Rhinolophus ferrumequinum: one gene and its partner. The protein of the gene in region 1 interacts with the protein of each later gene in a pairwise test. Links are inferred from orthologs where the notes say so. Each region holds a gene or a part of one and is shown on either strand. Other genes may lie near its edges. The genes, in order: SPTBN1 and SH3BP5.

Region 1 (7,968 bases):
TAGATTCAAATACCCAAGTTGTTCCAAACATACTTAAAAGTTTTCTAATAACTGAACATAGAATCAAATTTTTAATTTAAATTTAAATTAATTAAAATTAGGTAAAATTAATCCTCTTTCCTGCCCCTTCCTTCAACCCCTGGGAACCACCAATATGTTTTCTATCTCTATGGATTTACCTATTCTGGATATTTCATTTAAACAGAATTTTACAATATGTGACCTTTTGTGTCTGGCTTTTTTCATTATGTTAAGTGTACATACGCTAAGTATACTACAATAAGTATACAATGAACTGATATACTACAGTATGTATCAGTGCTTAATTCCTTTTATGGCTGAATAGTGTTCCATTATATGGATATACCACATTTTGGTTATCAATTTATCCATTGATGGATATCTGAGTTGTTTCCACCTTTTGGCTATTGTGAATTGTCCTACTACGAACATTCATGTACAAGTGTTTGAGTACCTGTATCAATTCCTTTGGGCATATAGCTATGAGTGGAATTGCTGGCTCATATGATAATTCTATGTTTAACTTTTTGAGGAACTGCCAAACTATTTTCCATAGCAGCTGCACCACTTTACATTCCCACCAGCAAGTATGAGCCTTCAAATTCCTCCACATTCTACCCGATACTTGTTATTTTCTGTATTCTCCCTAGGTTTACTGAGCTATAATTGACATAGAGCAGTGTATAAATGTAAGGTGTACAGCATAATTATTTGACTTGTGTATATTGTGAAATGATTAATGCAGTAAGTTTAATCAATACCCATCATAGCATATAAATACAAAAGAAAAAGAAAAAAGCTTTTTTTTCCTTGTGATGAGAACTCGGGATTTACTCTTAACATCTTTCATATATATCTTACAGAAGTGCTAACTATTGTCATCATGTTGTACATTACATCCCTAGGATTTATGTATCTTGTAACTGGAAATCTGTACCTTTTGACCACCTTTATCCAAATCCCTACCCCACCGCCCATCTGATCTCTTCCATTTAAAAAAAAAATTGAACCTATCCTAGTGGGTATAAAGTGGTATCTCACAGTGGTTTTGATTTGCATTTCCCTAAAGACTAGTGATATTGAACATATTTTTATGGGCTTGTTGTCCATTTGTATATCCTCTTTGGAGAAAATTCTATTCAACTCCATTTTTGTTGAGTTGTAAGAGTTCTTTATGTATTCTGAATATTAGACCCTTATTAGATGTATGATTTGCAAATATTTTCTCCTATTCTGTTGTCTTTTCACTTTCTTGATAATGTCCTTTGATACACAAAAGTTTTAAATTTTGATGGCGTCCAGTTTGTCTATTTTTGTTGTTGTTGTTGTTGTCATGCTTTTGGTGTCATATCTATCAATTCATTGCCTAACTTTTGAAGCACATTTCAAAAGAAAACAAAATGATAGGTTTATATCTGGAAAAAGACATACTTAGATGTTTTATTTTACTTGAAATTTACATTCACCTGCTAATTGGTTGATAAAGTGTTTATATATGTTTACTGAAAGTCCACTTCTTTTTTGCATAAGCCAAAGCTGATACACATTTTTGTTTTCTTTTAAGTTGATTTAGAACTTAGGGACACTTGCAAAGCATCCTGAACTGAATATTTTAAGGTTTTTATGATATCTATCCCTCCCTACTTTTTTATTGTTATCTTGACCACATATATTTTGATGGCAGTATTTTTAGCCTTTATCAGACAATTCAAAAATAAGCAACTTAGTTTTCACTAAAGAGCTCTCTTTTCACACTCATATTTAATTGGTTCATGTAATATTTAATTATAATAAGTGTACTTATTAAGTATAATAAGCATAACTAGCATAAACAAATTTGGGAACAAACAAAACTGACTTGGTAAATACACAGCACAACTGGAGGGAGCTGAAATATACAGTTGCAGCCGACTAGCAGAGTGTGTTTTGTGTCCATGGACATTGGTCAATATGCTTACCACACAGAGTGAACAGTGTAATCCAACAAATGGGTTAAATGAAGGAGCATTAAGAGTGCATCTGCTCTACTATTCTAGGAGTCTAAATTCAGAATTACTTGAAAAGAATTTTTTTAAACGTCGTGATATATACATAGCATAAAATTCACCATTTTAATTATTTTAAGTGTACAGTTTAATAGCATTAAGTACATTCACATTGTTGTGCAACCATCCCCACCATCCACCTCCAGAACTTTTCTCATCTTGTAAACAGAATTACTTTTTAATTATTAACATACAATGTCCAGACACACAGCTCTTATATGCTAGCTTCTATGCAGATATCTCAGACATTTAGTAGCTATGTAAAGACACTTAGTACTGGTGTCTCAGTTTTCTCATCTATAAAATGGAGTTAGTATGTACCCCAAAGAACTGACAAAAGGACAAAATGATATATGTGCTAAAAGACTTTAAAAACTAGAAAGAATTTTATAGTTGCTACTTATGATTATTATTATTGTTCACAAATTTTGAAGGTCCTTTATAACCACAAAAATGTTGTAATAAGTACTATTTCTATGGGAGACAAAGCCATATACAATCACATGGTTTTAAAAATGGAGACTAGAGTGTTACAGACATGCTATCAATGAGTTCTCTCTTAACGATGAGTTCTAGGTTCCTTTAAATCAACCTTAATTCTATTGTGACGATAATAAACTTCAGCAAAGCTGCTTTGGAGATATTTGAGAACACTCCTTTTTGTTACCATCATTACCGACTGAGGCTTTTTGTCTTTTCTAGATTCTGCTCTTCCACAGAAGCATATGTCTTCTCCAATAATCTCTCCAGATTTAGACTGTCTTTTCTTTGATCTGCTACTTTCTTTTTGTTCAGTGTACACTGTGCTTTCCTGGGTGATGATTTTTTTCCACCGAAAGGTAAGAATTTGAAACCGTGAGCAGGTACTTATAGTGAAACTCTGAATCCTTGTTTTTTACATTTTTGGAATACTTACTGCCTCTTTACTAGAGTACCTAGCTAAGGTTGTATGTGGTCTCACTTTTTGAAGGAAATTTTTAAAAAGTAAGTGGTAGTGGAATGAGGGGAGATGACTCATCCACCAAATTGAGATTTATTCAAGTACTGTTATCTGTGATAAAGGAAGCAGTTAAGAGTCACCATTTCAGAATAGTATTGGAAGAATTTAAACTGAGGCATTTCCCAGTACTGCCATTGTTCTCTTTGCTATTTCATTAACATTGTGGGTGGGGACGTGCTGGGGGCTATGCCCAAAATAAGTGAAAGGGAAACAACTTTCATTCCTAGTGGATTTCCAGTGTTGCCTAATATGGGCAGCGCTTACCTGTTGATTCTGTTCAATTCAACAAAAAATTTTTGAGCACCTCTGAAGTGCCTGCTATGTACAGTGAACACAGAACCCTGCTCTTGGAGAGCTCACCTTTCAGCTGTGTTAATAACCTTCTGAGAAAAATGTTAAATTATTTGCCTTCCTCAATTATTTATATATCTATATCTCAAATGTAAACATTGTACAAACATTCAAACTGATGGTGAAGGCCTAAAAGGAAGAATCATCTTCATGAATTGCTGGGGACAATTTCATTTAGTTTTATTTAAAAATATTAATTTAAAAATACATACAAAAATATAAACGCATCAAGCTTCAGTTCTATTGATGCGAGATATAAGCATGATCCAAACTATTTGTCTGTCTTTTATTTCTCTTTTTTATTCAGGGGTTGAGGGTTAGGTCTTTAGGGGAAAAGCCTTGGGGCTTTTGCAACCAAGAAGGGCCTCTTCCACAGAAGCTTACAGTGGGCACCGTTGGGCACCTACAGAGCAGGCAGAAAATCAGTTTCTCCAGATTGCTTTCTAGAGTTTCTAGTCTTGGTCATAGTGATGCACCGTTTTTTCCTCTCAAAAGTGCTGGTTCCATAATTTCTACATAGCCTGGGGGATTGACAGGGTTGGCCAGCTGGTTGAGAAGGGGCGAACGTCCGGTGTCCATCTCAGGATATGTGGAGAGGGGGAGAACTCAAGTCCTCAAGCCATCGCGGGGCCTTCACTGCAGCCGGGACGTCCTTACTCTCGAGCAGTGTCTCGGGAAGAGCACCCACTTCAGGTGAAAGTGAGCCAGCGTTTGGGTCAGAGGCAGGAGTTGGACGAACCACTTGTAGTGTATGTTCCCAGCTACCCAGAGGGAAAGGGTGGAAAAGCTCACAAAGGAGAAAGAGCTTGACTTTGCCGAGGAACAACCCTCCTCCCCCCATCGTCCAAGGTTTCCCACGGAGAGGTCACCATCGCTCTTTATTAGGCTGGGTGGAACCTACAAGGCACCACCACCTAGATCTGAAACCAAACCAACCAAACGACGTTCTAAAACCTCCCTCAACCCTCTCCGTAGCGTTCCAAACGCAACGTCGCGGGTGAAAAGCGGCTGCACAAGTCACGTAGATAATTAGGCTGCCCCTTTCCATGGCGATAATCGAATTAGCCTCAAATTAAACGTGAAATTGGCCCTCGCCAGCTGTGGGGACAAAGTCCCTATTGTCCCTTTGCCTGGGTAGTGGCAGCGGCGATGCCCACTGTGACCAGGCTCTCCCTGGCCAGTCTCGGCTACAAGGAACGAGGTCGGCGCTGGGCCCCGGCAGAGCTTCAGCTGGGGAGAGCGTGAACGCGCCCGAGGTTCGGCTCGCGCGTGGAGCAGGCGCCGGATGGGCGGCTGCGGGGCTCCGGACAGGCACTGAGGGCCCGGGAGAGGGAGGAACCGAGGAAGGAAGGAGGGTGTGCGGGAGAGAGCTGTGCGCGCGCGTGTGCACGCTCCCGGCGCCGGCGCGCTCCCTCTCCCCGCCCCTCGCCCCCTCCTTGCCTGCTCCCTCCCCTCCTTCCCCCGCCCCGCGCTCCAGCCCAGCCCCCGGAATCAGTGCAGCTGTTACCGTGCAGGCTGCGGATTCCTCCAGTCCCTCCCTCGGCCGCCTCTCCACCCGGAGCGAGCGCGCAGCCCCGCGCAGCAGCGCCCACCGGTCCCGTCCTGTGAGCCCCGGCCCCAGCCGCAGACAGCCCCGCGGAGTCGCCTCCCGGCCCACCCGCCCGGCCGCCGAGGAGCGGGAGGAGGACGGGACCCCGACGCCCCCACCCCTTATCCGCGGGAGGTAGGTGAGGGGCCTGAGGCTGGAACATGCCAACTCACTGGGGCTGCCACCCGGACGGGCTCCTGGGCGGCAGGCGGGCGGGAGGAGGGGCGCGGGCCCAGTCCGGCGGACGCCGCTGCCCGGCTCCCCACGGAGCGGCGTGGGGGCGGGGAGGCTGCAGAGCCAGGGCGGGGGCGGCACCAGGAGCCTGGGTCTCCAGTGCTTATTAGTGCTCGAGTTTTGCGGGGCAGGGACGGCAGGCCCCGCAGTGAAGCGGCCGCAGTGAGGCGGCCGCAGATCCTCGGTGCGCACCGCGGCCGCCCAGCCCCATCCCCGGCGCAGTGGCGCCTATTTCTCCTCCCTATCTTCGCCGCCGTGTCCCTTCATCTGGGCGCAGCGGCCTCTGGCGCGGGGGTGGGTGCACAGTGGGCAGCAGCGAGGGTATATTTTCGGGTGCCCTCCTGCTAGTCAGGCTGGTGGGGGAGCCGGGGCGGCATTGACAGGGCCCGGCTCTGCGCTTAACGGTACGGAAGATGCGGCCAGGCGTGGTCCCGGCTGCGCCGCGCTGCAGCTGAGCGGGAGGCGGCGGCCCGGTGCCCCCTCCCACCCATCCTAGTGTCCGCTCGCGGATCCGCGCCCGCTCCCCCCCCCCCGCCCTCCTGCTGTACCCACTCTCCCAGGGCTGGGCGTGAGCCGCCTGCGGGCGCGGAGCCGCCGCTGCGCCCGCCCTTCAGCTCCTGCCACCCTTTCTTCAACAGGTTTGTACCAGCGCGGAGACCCTCCCGGCCTGCCTTTGGGGTGGTGGGTTGGAAGCCCCTCTCCTTATCACCCCTTACACCACGCCCGCGGCCCTCTTTTTGAGGGGAGCCTTCCCTTTGTTTTTGTGATAGGAAAGATGCCAAATGCTATCAGATGGGGTGGGGAAGTGTTGCAGGGATCGGTACACAAACCGTGTCCATTATTTTTCCAATCAAAAGCCAGGCCACATAGTAAGTGAGGAGAAGGCAAGTGTAGGGCGCTGCCGAGGAGGAGAAAATGGATTCGGTGGGTTTGTTTGGGTGGGGATGTGCTTTTTTGGCAAGATGGATGGCTCACGGTGCCCTCGCCGTGATGCAGCACAATGCAGCAGTATCGCAGCCTCCCCGGGTTCTCGCTGGCGGGGCTTGGCACGGCCACTGGGCGCCTGCGGCCCCCACCCGGCCCCACCCAGGCCCGGGGTTGCCCTTGGCAGAGGCTGGGAACAGCATCTACCTTGTCTTGCTGTTTCAGCGGGATGTGGTGTCAGGAGGACCAGGTCACCTAGCTGTGAGGGTGGACTCTTCTTTTTGGGGTGACCCCCTCCCGCCCCGCCTTTTGGGCTGTATCCGATGAAGGGGCTTCCTGCGGCGCTAATGCGGGTAGAGGGAGCTGGCCTGCGGCTGCGGATCGGAATCTGATCTCGGACTAAGGGACCTGAGCTGTAGGGAGGGGCTGCAGGGAGGACGCGCGGCCCAGCGGTGTGCGGAGGCGCTGGTGCAGTCAGCATTGGGAGTCGCAGCGGTTTTTTGTGGATCACTCATAATTTGTGACTACAACCCAATTATCCATCGATTTCTTCCTGTATGAAAAGTTTGTGTTTATTGGAGCATCGTAACTATTACATTGCAGTACCTCTGTCTTTGGTCAATAATAAGAATATGAATTTTTCCTAGAGAAAACTATTTTTTGAAATAAAACGGTTACTGTTTTAGTTCATGTCTCCCTGAGACATTTCTAAAAATACTCACATTGAATAGGTTTTTAAAAGGAACTTAATATATTTTTTGATGTGTAGTAAATGATTAACCTGTATTGGCATTGCTTTCATCGTTTGCGTTTTCTGTAAATCAAATTACACATTTGGATGCTTTATTAGGGATTATTAGATAAATGAGTGAATTGTTACTCAGATTTTTATCGATTTAGATAGCCAAGTTCGTTGTGACTAATGGGATTGTGATGGTAACTGACTTCATTTGTGTTTGTTTATATGTATTTTTATACATATTTTTTGCAGATGTCGTTGGGGAGGGAGTTGAGAAGTGCAGACCACCGAGGCCTGTGTGGCTGGTATCTGGTCAGAAGGAGACGGTTGCCAGTGTTCTCATCTGTTTAGTCTGGGCTAATACACAGGGAATTTCCCATCTAAATGCCACTTCTACAATTCATTTATTCATTGTGGGATGGCAAATGGAATACATTTCAAATGTCACCCAGATTCTTCTAAAATGTTTAAGGGAAAAAGGGAATTTCAGTATGCTAACTAACCGGAAGAGAAGGTCAGTATTTCAAAGCAAGGGTGTGTCTACTTTTATTTTTTAAATCTCTCATGAATTCAAGTTGGTGGCATTTGATTTCACGTGGCTCTGCAGAGTAGAACTGAATGCAGATTGTGTGGTTTATGTGCATTATTTTGAGTTTCTCTTAAAAGAAGGCCATTAAAAATACAGAACTTTTTGGATTTTGGCTTCATCGGTGTCTGCTTGTATAAAATCGTGTTGCATAAAGATGTTTGGGAGTATTGTTCCCATGATTATTCAGACATTTTGGATTTACTGTGTTGTAAGAAAATATCCTGTGTTGATGTCACAGGAGGTTTAGCTGTTCTGACTTACACACCAGGTGCAGAATTCTGTTAGGTTAAGTAAGCTCTTTGTAACTGTTCTCTCTGGACTGACCTAAACCTTCATCTGAAAGTAGGAGAAGTATTGGGGCACTGAAGAAACTGTGGTCACTAGGTCTTCTCTGTTGTGCAGGGTTTCTGAAGCGGTCTCTTGGGCGAGAATACCTAGTAACAAATGTCTGTGATGTTGCAGGAGCAAGTGAGAAGA
Region 2 (7,513 bases), on another chromosome or scaffold:
TTGCTGGTAGGTTACATTTCTATCTCCTGCATCCTCACTCTTTGGGACCAGATGTTTCCTGCCTTTTCCACTGACCTTCCCTGCTATTTCTCCTGCTACAGAAACAGGTCCTCCCAACAGCTCCCTGCATTCCTTCAGCTCTCTGACAGTCATTCACAGGCTCTCAGATATATGCGGAGGATATTCAAATTTGCTGATTGATGGTAAAACCAACCACTACTGAAAAGGAATGGGGACTAATTGGTAGCTGTGAAGAATACTAATCTGTTTACACAGATTGGAAGATGCCCCTGAAATTCAAATCAACTTTTGTCTCCCAAGATTCTTCCCAGCAGGAAAGCCCTTCCGTCTAAACAGCTTTTGCTTACCATTAAAATAATTATATTCTACACACAAGCAGACAATAAAGAAATGAGCAGGGAAGTAGAAGGGGGTGAATTATTAGAGCAGGAGAGTCAAAAAAAAAAAAAAGGTTTTAAGTCTGAGCAAACACACAATGTTTCCAAGTACAATATGAGGAACTGCCCTAAAATATTAAAGAGATTTTGTGACCTCATGTATTCTTCTCCATTAAAGAGTTCAGCTCATTTTCACCTTAGTTCTTTTAGCTTTTCCACAGACACATTAACTTCAGGGCTTAGGCATGTGTAAAGCCCTTGGTTTTGGCCCCACAGAGCTTCCATAATAAAAAAACAACATGTGAAATTGGATCCACATGTGTTCCACCCACAAGCTGGGCTCAGCCGTATAGTTTATTCTGTCAGACAGCAGGCTGTTGCTCAACTGGAGGAGGGGACACCAGCAATCACCCTCCAACTATTAAAACAAAATTAACCATTCTGGTGTTAGCAGGACAGACACCAGTTCACCAAGAACAGGAACCTGGCCTTCAGTACCTCAAGTTCAGTCTCCCGTCTGTTGATGTCATCCGTGGATTGATTTAACTTCTCCAGTTCTCCCTAACAAAGAAAAGAGGCAGAAAAAAGATTTAAGGGATTTGTCTTTTGTTTCCAAGTGACTCAGCCCATGACCTGCAAAACTACTCCAGCACAATTTGGGAAGAAGGAAGTGTCAGTATTCTCAAGAAAAATAGTTGAGCCTTGGCTAGAAGAGAAATGAATGTCAGCATTTCTGAAACCTTTGCTTGATGGTGTCCCTTTTGAAAATGTCATACGGTCATAGGGATTTTCTTAGGAGGTTAAATATTTATTCCAGGTTTGTGCCTTCAGGTAAACCCACCTGTTACAAATCATTTAAGGGCTGATATCAAAATAGTACCTTCTGCCTTACAGCAAGAACTTTGCAGAAAAGAAAAGAAACAAAGCCAAGCCAAAAGTATAAACCTAGTGAAATGATTTAAATCGAGGGCAGAACACTGGCATTAACTCATTGGTGGTTGAGTATTTTTGTAGAGAGATGAAAATCTTTTCAAACTGCCAATTATTCAATCTCCCTAGGTGTTTTTAAAAAAACAAACAAAAACATTAGCTTTAAAAAAAACTACCTTTAAATAAACATTTACAAACTAAAATTTTATAAAAAGCACCCATCATGAAGTCAACTCATTTTACTCTGCAAACAAAGGATCTTGTTAACAGAATTCCTGTACCAACAAAACAAGATACTAGTCCAAACTGATTAATTTAATTAATAAAATTTCTGATACAAAGATTTTTTTCCACCTGATCTTTACCTTGCCAATCTGCCAAAACAATTCATTTAAACTGCAACAGCTGAATTAAATGAGCTTTTAATTGATCTGTGCACTGAAAAACCAATTAGGGCGGGTTCCAGGAATTGAAAGCATACTTAAAAGCAATATATATTGTGTACACACACAGAGAGAGAGAGACACACGTGTGTGTGTGTGTGTGTGTGTGTGCATGATTTATGGGAAGGTAGGAAAAACGAGTCTTGGACTTCTGCTTTTTGCTTAGAGGGTGAAAAGGTTAAGCGGTCAACCCTAGATCTTGGCTTGGAAATTGTTTTTTAATCATCTCCCTTACAAATGGAGGTGCAGAGGTCCAGGCCAATCCCCTCGCCTTCTCCCCGTGTCAGCTTTGCGCATCAGTTGTTCCTGATTTCTGTTCACACCCGACCTCAAAAAAGGAAAAGCTAGGTTTTAAATCATTTGAGGCCAAGTGGAGGGTTGAATCAGTAGTGACAAAAAGAAAAAAGGAGAAAAAAAAAAACCCTTCAGTTTGGTTACAATCAAAGGAGAGGAAAGATGGCTCAAGCCGGGCACCTCCACCAGGTGAGGACTCAGAACCCAGGGCACCAGTGCCAGCCCACGCTGCAGGGGCGGACAACGCCCACCCGGCAGCCGACCCCTCCTTCCAGGGCCAGGAGGCCGTGCAATGCCAGCGGTGTGGCGAGCCTGGCCGGGATACCCGGGATACCCGCGTGGCGCCCCCGCCCCCTTTTTCCCTTTGTTGCACATCCGCCCAACCGCTGGGCACGCTGCAGCGATCCCCTGATTCTGCCGCGGTCTGCGGGGGGATCCCGGTAACATATTCAGGCCGCATCCATGAGGGCACTGCAGCCTCCCGATGAACCCAGTGAAACAGTATTCAGCCTCTCTCTTCTTGCCCCCGGACCTACGTCGCCAGCACCCCCACCCCGGAGCGCAGGCACTGGATGCCGATCTCCGCGGCGGCCCTCGCCAAGCGGGGATCCGGGGCGCCCTCCGCGCGTCCTACCTGAATCCGGGGATCCACCTCTTCTTCCTCCTCCAGCTCCTGCTCCATCCCCTCTTCCTCCTCTTCCTCCAAGTCCCGGGCCGACTGCAGGAGCTCAGCCGGCTCCTCCGAGCGGCTCCGCTTCAGCGCCGCGTCCATACCCGCAGCCGGATCGCGAACAGCGCAGCGGGCTTCGGGACGTTTGGGAGGGTGGGCGGCCGCCGCAGGCTCGGCCGGAGCCCGCCGGTCTCAGCTCGGCACGGTCTGGGAGCCGCAGCCGACACCAGGGAGCCGCTCCGGCCGAGGCGGAGAGGAGGAAATGGGAGCGGCCGCCCCCTTTCTGCCGCGGCCGTCAGCGCAGCGGCGCCCGCTCCGCCCTCGTCCCGCCGGGGCCACCCTCCTTGCTGCTCTGACTCTCACTCCTCCGCCGGTCCCCAAAACCCAGGTCTCGTCACAAAAACCCAACTCTCTAAAAACCTCTAGCGTGGCGAAATAGGAGGGCCCTCACCCCCATTTTAACTTAACAGACCGAATATATCACAAAGTACCCAATGTTGGCCGCCTACTTTTGGGGCACTGTTCTCCCTCCTTCCTCATCTAAGGCAAATTGACTATATGGAAGGAAAGTTTGGGGTATTTCCATTCTCTGAAGTCACCTTTAGAAGCCTGTACTCAGTGGCCGTGAACCAATTTCAAGACTCACTCAAACCCCTGTCTGTAACTGCCCAAAGCACGTTTCTCCCCTTGGGTGAACCTTGGGAATTGTATTCCCTTGAAGATTTCCTCGGAAAAGGGAACAGAAACGTATGCTCACATAGACACAAAAGTACAGAGGAGAACCAGCTGCAGCTCCATGCATGGATCACTTTTCCAAAGGAATCCCACTGAGCAGAGTTCCATACCAAACACTTGGGCAGTTGTGGGATGGTCCTACCTGAATAGCTAGGAGGTATGGAAAATCCATGGATCAGAGGTGTGGGTGGGTGGGCACAGCCTTTTCAAGGAGGTGGTAAGTGTAAGTCCTGTGAATGGGCACGTTCCCTCCAAGGATTTCTGAACTGGTGAGGTTTCCTGCCCACCCAGAACAAGTGGGCAGCCAGAGCTTTCCTGGCAAACTCAACATCACAAAAGGCCAAAGAACAGCATGTCTGTGCTGTTATAAAATGTCAGGGCTACTGTGATGTCAGGGGAGCACAAGGTGAGGTGACCTTAGCAAAGCAGAAAGGACATTGCCACTGGCCACTGCTAATGTCTCCATCATTACAAAATGCAGAATGTGTACACTTTCTATATAGAGGCTGTGGCCCATCTGCTCTGAGTATGGAGGACAAACTTGCTTGAAGAAAGAGCTTCTTTCTGAGAGCCTATCATTAAAGCCACCTTGGAAAACTTGCTTCTGACAGTTTCATCAGAAGCTAAATTGGGGTGTTATTCCTTGGGCAAGGTACCACCCTATCCACACTGGCGCTGTGGTCCACTGTCAAAGGAGATTTCATCCTGTCTCCTAAAGGTAAGTAATATAGGTGTGTGCCATAGATTTGTTTCTGAAAAGATCACACCTATTCGTTGTTCTTTAAATCAAGAGAGACTCAGCAATTCTTCAAAAAAATCTTCCGAAGTTCCCTGATTTTCCAGTGGTGGATAAAGGCAGGGACAAGATGGCCATTAAGGGGAACTTTGGGACACATGAGCCACCAATGTTTCCCTGGTGGCTTGGATTTGAGCCCATAATTGAGCAGGTTCTTCCTAACCTAGCTGTGAATAACCTGAGCGAGAGAGGTCAAAAACCAGAAACGAAGTCAGCCCTGACTCTAAATGCTTGTCAGCTGGTGGACCCCCATCTTCAACAACAACCTCTAAAATATATTTTTATTTATGCTAAGATCTAAGAGCAAGAGTGGTTCAAATGCCTCCACAGTATATAGGGAAACTGTGCTAGAACATCGATTTAGACTTCTGTTGTTTTATTTTTAGGAGACCTGGGCCAGTTATAGCATTAATCCCAATAGTGTTCTAAAGTTAAAATAAGAAAAACACATAAACCACAGCAGTACTGTATATTTTCTGTTGGTACATATATATGCATATAAATGCATAGAAAAAGGTCTGGTGGAAGGATTCATACCCAGCAAAGGGGATATTTATACCCCTGGGAAAAGGGGATAGAGAGGGGCTCAACATTGGCTATGATGGGGATCGGGAAGGCAAAGGGAACTTTAATCTCTCAATGATGTTTTTATTCTTTACAAGGAGGATGTATTTATGATTATTTGTGTAATTTAAAAATAAATTTAAAATAATACATACTGAATTAGTTTTCTGTTGCTGTATAACAAATTACCACCAATTTAGCAGCTTAAAACAATACTCATTCATCACCTCACAGTTCCGTAGTTCTGAAGTTCAGGTACGGCATGACTAGGTTCTCTGCTCAGGGTATTCAGGCTCAATGAGGATGTCAGGGTGTCCAGGCTGCATTCCTTTCTGGAGGCTCTGAGGAGAAATCCTTTTATGCTCATTCAGGTTATTGGCTGAATTCAGTTCCTTGTGGTTGTAGGACCAAGGTCCCTGTTTCCTTGCTGACGACCAGCCAAGGGCCAGTCTAAGATGCTGGAGGCTGCCTGCATTTCTTGCCACATGACCCCCTCCACCTTCAAAGCCAGCAACGGAGAATTTTGCTGGTGTTCAATTACATGAAATCTCACATTTCAATCTATTATTCAAGAAGAGCCCATCCCTTTTAAGAGTTCACTTGATTAGATTAGGTCCACCCAGAATAGTCTCCCATTCTTAAAGTCAACTGTGCCATCCATATACATAACCTATTATCATGGAAGTGACTGTCGTGCAGGGTGGCATGCGGGGTCTCTGGTCCCGCTCCCCACATAAGAACGCAGGACATGGTGAGGCCAAAAAGGAACACCCACGGAGCCATAGGTAGGGGAGTCATACCACTATAGTCTTGCTGGCGGCTGGGTTGGAGACACAGGAAGCAGGAGCCACACTGGCCGCAGCCTGCCGTCCTAACTGCAATCCGCGCTTGCCAGCCACCATCGTCTTGCTAGCCCCCATTTATATTAGCGTAGCCACAGCAGTTATATTAGTGGCCAATGGCTCACTGGTTACAGCTGATGGCCAACTAGCCACAGCTGATGGCCATCCAATCACAGTTGATGGCCATTTACTATCTGAGCCAGCACCTTTCCACATGAGGCCGAGAGCCTGGAAACTGCACTCCTGGCTCTGTCCCCACAGTGACTCTCCCATTATATTCACAAATTCCCCAAATTATACAAGAGCATGTTCATCAGGGAGGAGGAAATGGGCCAATTTTATAAATTCTGCTGCTTCACATACCAAGAAGGCAAGCCATGTAAATGTTTCGTAAGCCAAGCAAATGCTTGATATTTATTTTAGCTAGCCTATCAATCTGGAACAGTGGTTCTAACGGTGTGGGCTGGACACCCCTGGAGGTCTCCAAGACCTTTCAGGATGCCCTTGAGATCAAAACTACTTTCGTGCTAATACTAACAGAATATTTGCCTTTTTCACTCTCATTCTCTCACAAGTATGTATGCATGGGAGTTTTCCAGGAGCAGACACGTGATATCAAAACCGATTGAATGCAGACGATATGAGAATCTAGTTGTCTTCTACAAAGCCACACGTTAAAGAGTTTTGCAAAAATGTAAAACAGTGCTCTTCTCACTCTTTGTTTTGTTTTGAAAACTATTTCTCAATTTAGAAACTTGTTATTTTTCATAAAAAATACATTTATGTTAACACCAAACAGATTTATTATTTTTAGATGAATTAATAAAAAATGTTGTCTTAAAAATTCCATACAGTAACACCAGTAGTTATAACCACATAAACAACAGCTCTCAGACATCTCCAATCATTTTTTAAAAATATAAAGGAGTATTTGAACCAAAAAATTTGAGAATGACTGATTGAGAGGACCTGTGTGTTCTAAATTTGTTATCCTTTTTTATTTGTATTTCAATATTCCACTTCCTCCTTCATTCAAAAGATGTGTACCCCCACCCAAGACCCTTGTTGGACACTGGTGGAGTATTACAGGCACAGTACATTATTGCCCATTTTAAAAGACTTTAACAATTTTAAATGATTGAAGAGATGGTTAGATAAGGTGCCACTCATGTATCATGTCTTTGTTTATTTCCTAGGATCTGTATTTTGTCAATTCCTATGAAGAACTCATCACCCAATTATAATGTTGCTCCTTTGGAGGAAACGGTTAGCTTTTTAAGTGCTTTGTCTGTGATGTGGTTTCTGAGTGCCATCTCTGCCTGCCAGGCTTTGGGTGGGTCCCAGCAGTGCAGGGGCACACCTGTATCAAAGCCACACTTTCTCGGCAGGGGCCTGATCACTTTGTGCAGTGTGGGCAGTGAGGGGAGATGGCTGACATCTTAAAAATCTTGAGGACTGGGGTGGCCAGTTAGCTCAGTTGGTTAGAGCGCGGTGCCGTTAACAATAAGGTTGCCAGTTCAATCCCCACATGAGCCACGGTGAGCTGCGTCCTCCACAACTAGATTGAAACAACCCCTTCACTTGGAGCTGATGGATCCTAGAAAACCACACTCAAGAAAAAAAGTCTTTCTTTGAGGACTGCATTGCTTGGAAGCCACACTCTCTGTCGATTTATTTTTACTACCTCCTTGCAGTTTGTTTAAACCCGGACACTGGGAGTAAATACACTATATGTGTTTATTCCCTGCCCACCACTTCCTTATGTTGTAGATCTTCCTAGGTGAAAATCACAGCCTCTGTGCTGTCCTGGTGTCCATTTAAAACAGCGGGGTGAAATTTGG

Evidence for each region.
Region 2: the proteins of SPTBN1 (region 1) and SH3BP5 interact in a two-hybrid assay, tested with the Homo sapiens proteins (2 studies listed by BioGRID and IntAct). The link is inferred for Rhinolophus ferrumequinum from reciprocal best matches to the Homo sapiens genes SPTBN1 and SH3BP5.

Annotation. Positions count from the first base shown.
Region 1 is NC_046296.1:33,100,136-33,108,103, reverse strand, and holds the start of SPTBN1 (spectrin beta chain, non-erythrocytic 1), read left to right. Parts: upstream 1-4,941; 5' UTR 4,942-5,140; intron 5,141-5,857; exon of another isoform or gene 5,858-5,877; intron 5,878-7,968. UniProt on the Homo sapiens protein: Fodrin, which seems to be involved in secretion, interacts with calmodulin in a calcium-dependent manner and is thus candidate for the calcium-dependent movement of the cytoskeleton at the membrane.
Region 2 is NC_046300.1:31,251,366-31,258,878, reverse strand, and holds the start of SH3BP5 (SH3 domain-binding protein 5), read right to left. Parts: upstream 3,075-7,513; 5' UTR 2,838-3,074; coding exon 2,700-2,837; intron 960-2,699; coding exon 897-959; intron 1-896. UniProt on the Homo sapiens protein: Functions as a guanine nucleotide exchange factor (GEF) with specificity for RAB11A and RAB25. Inhibits the auto- and transphosphorylation activity of BTK. Plays a negative regulatory role in BTK-related cytoplasmic signaling in B-cells.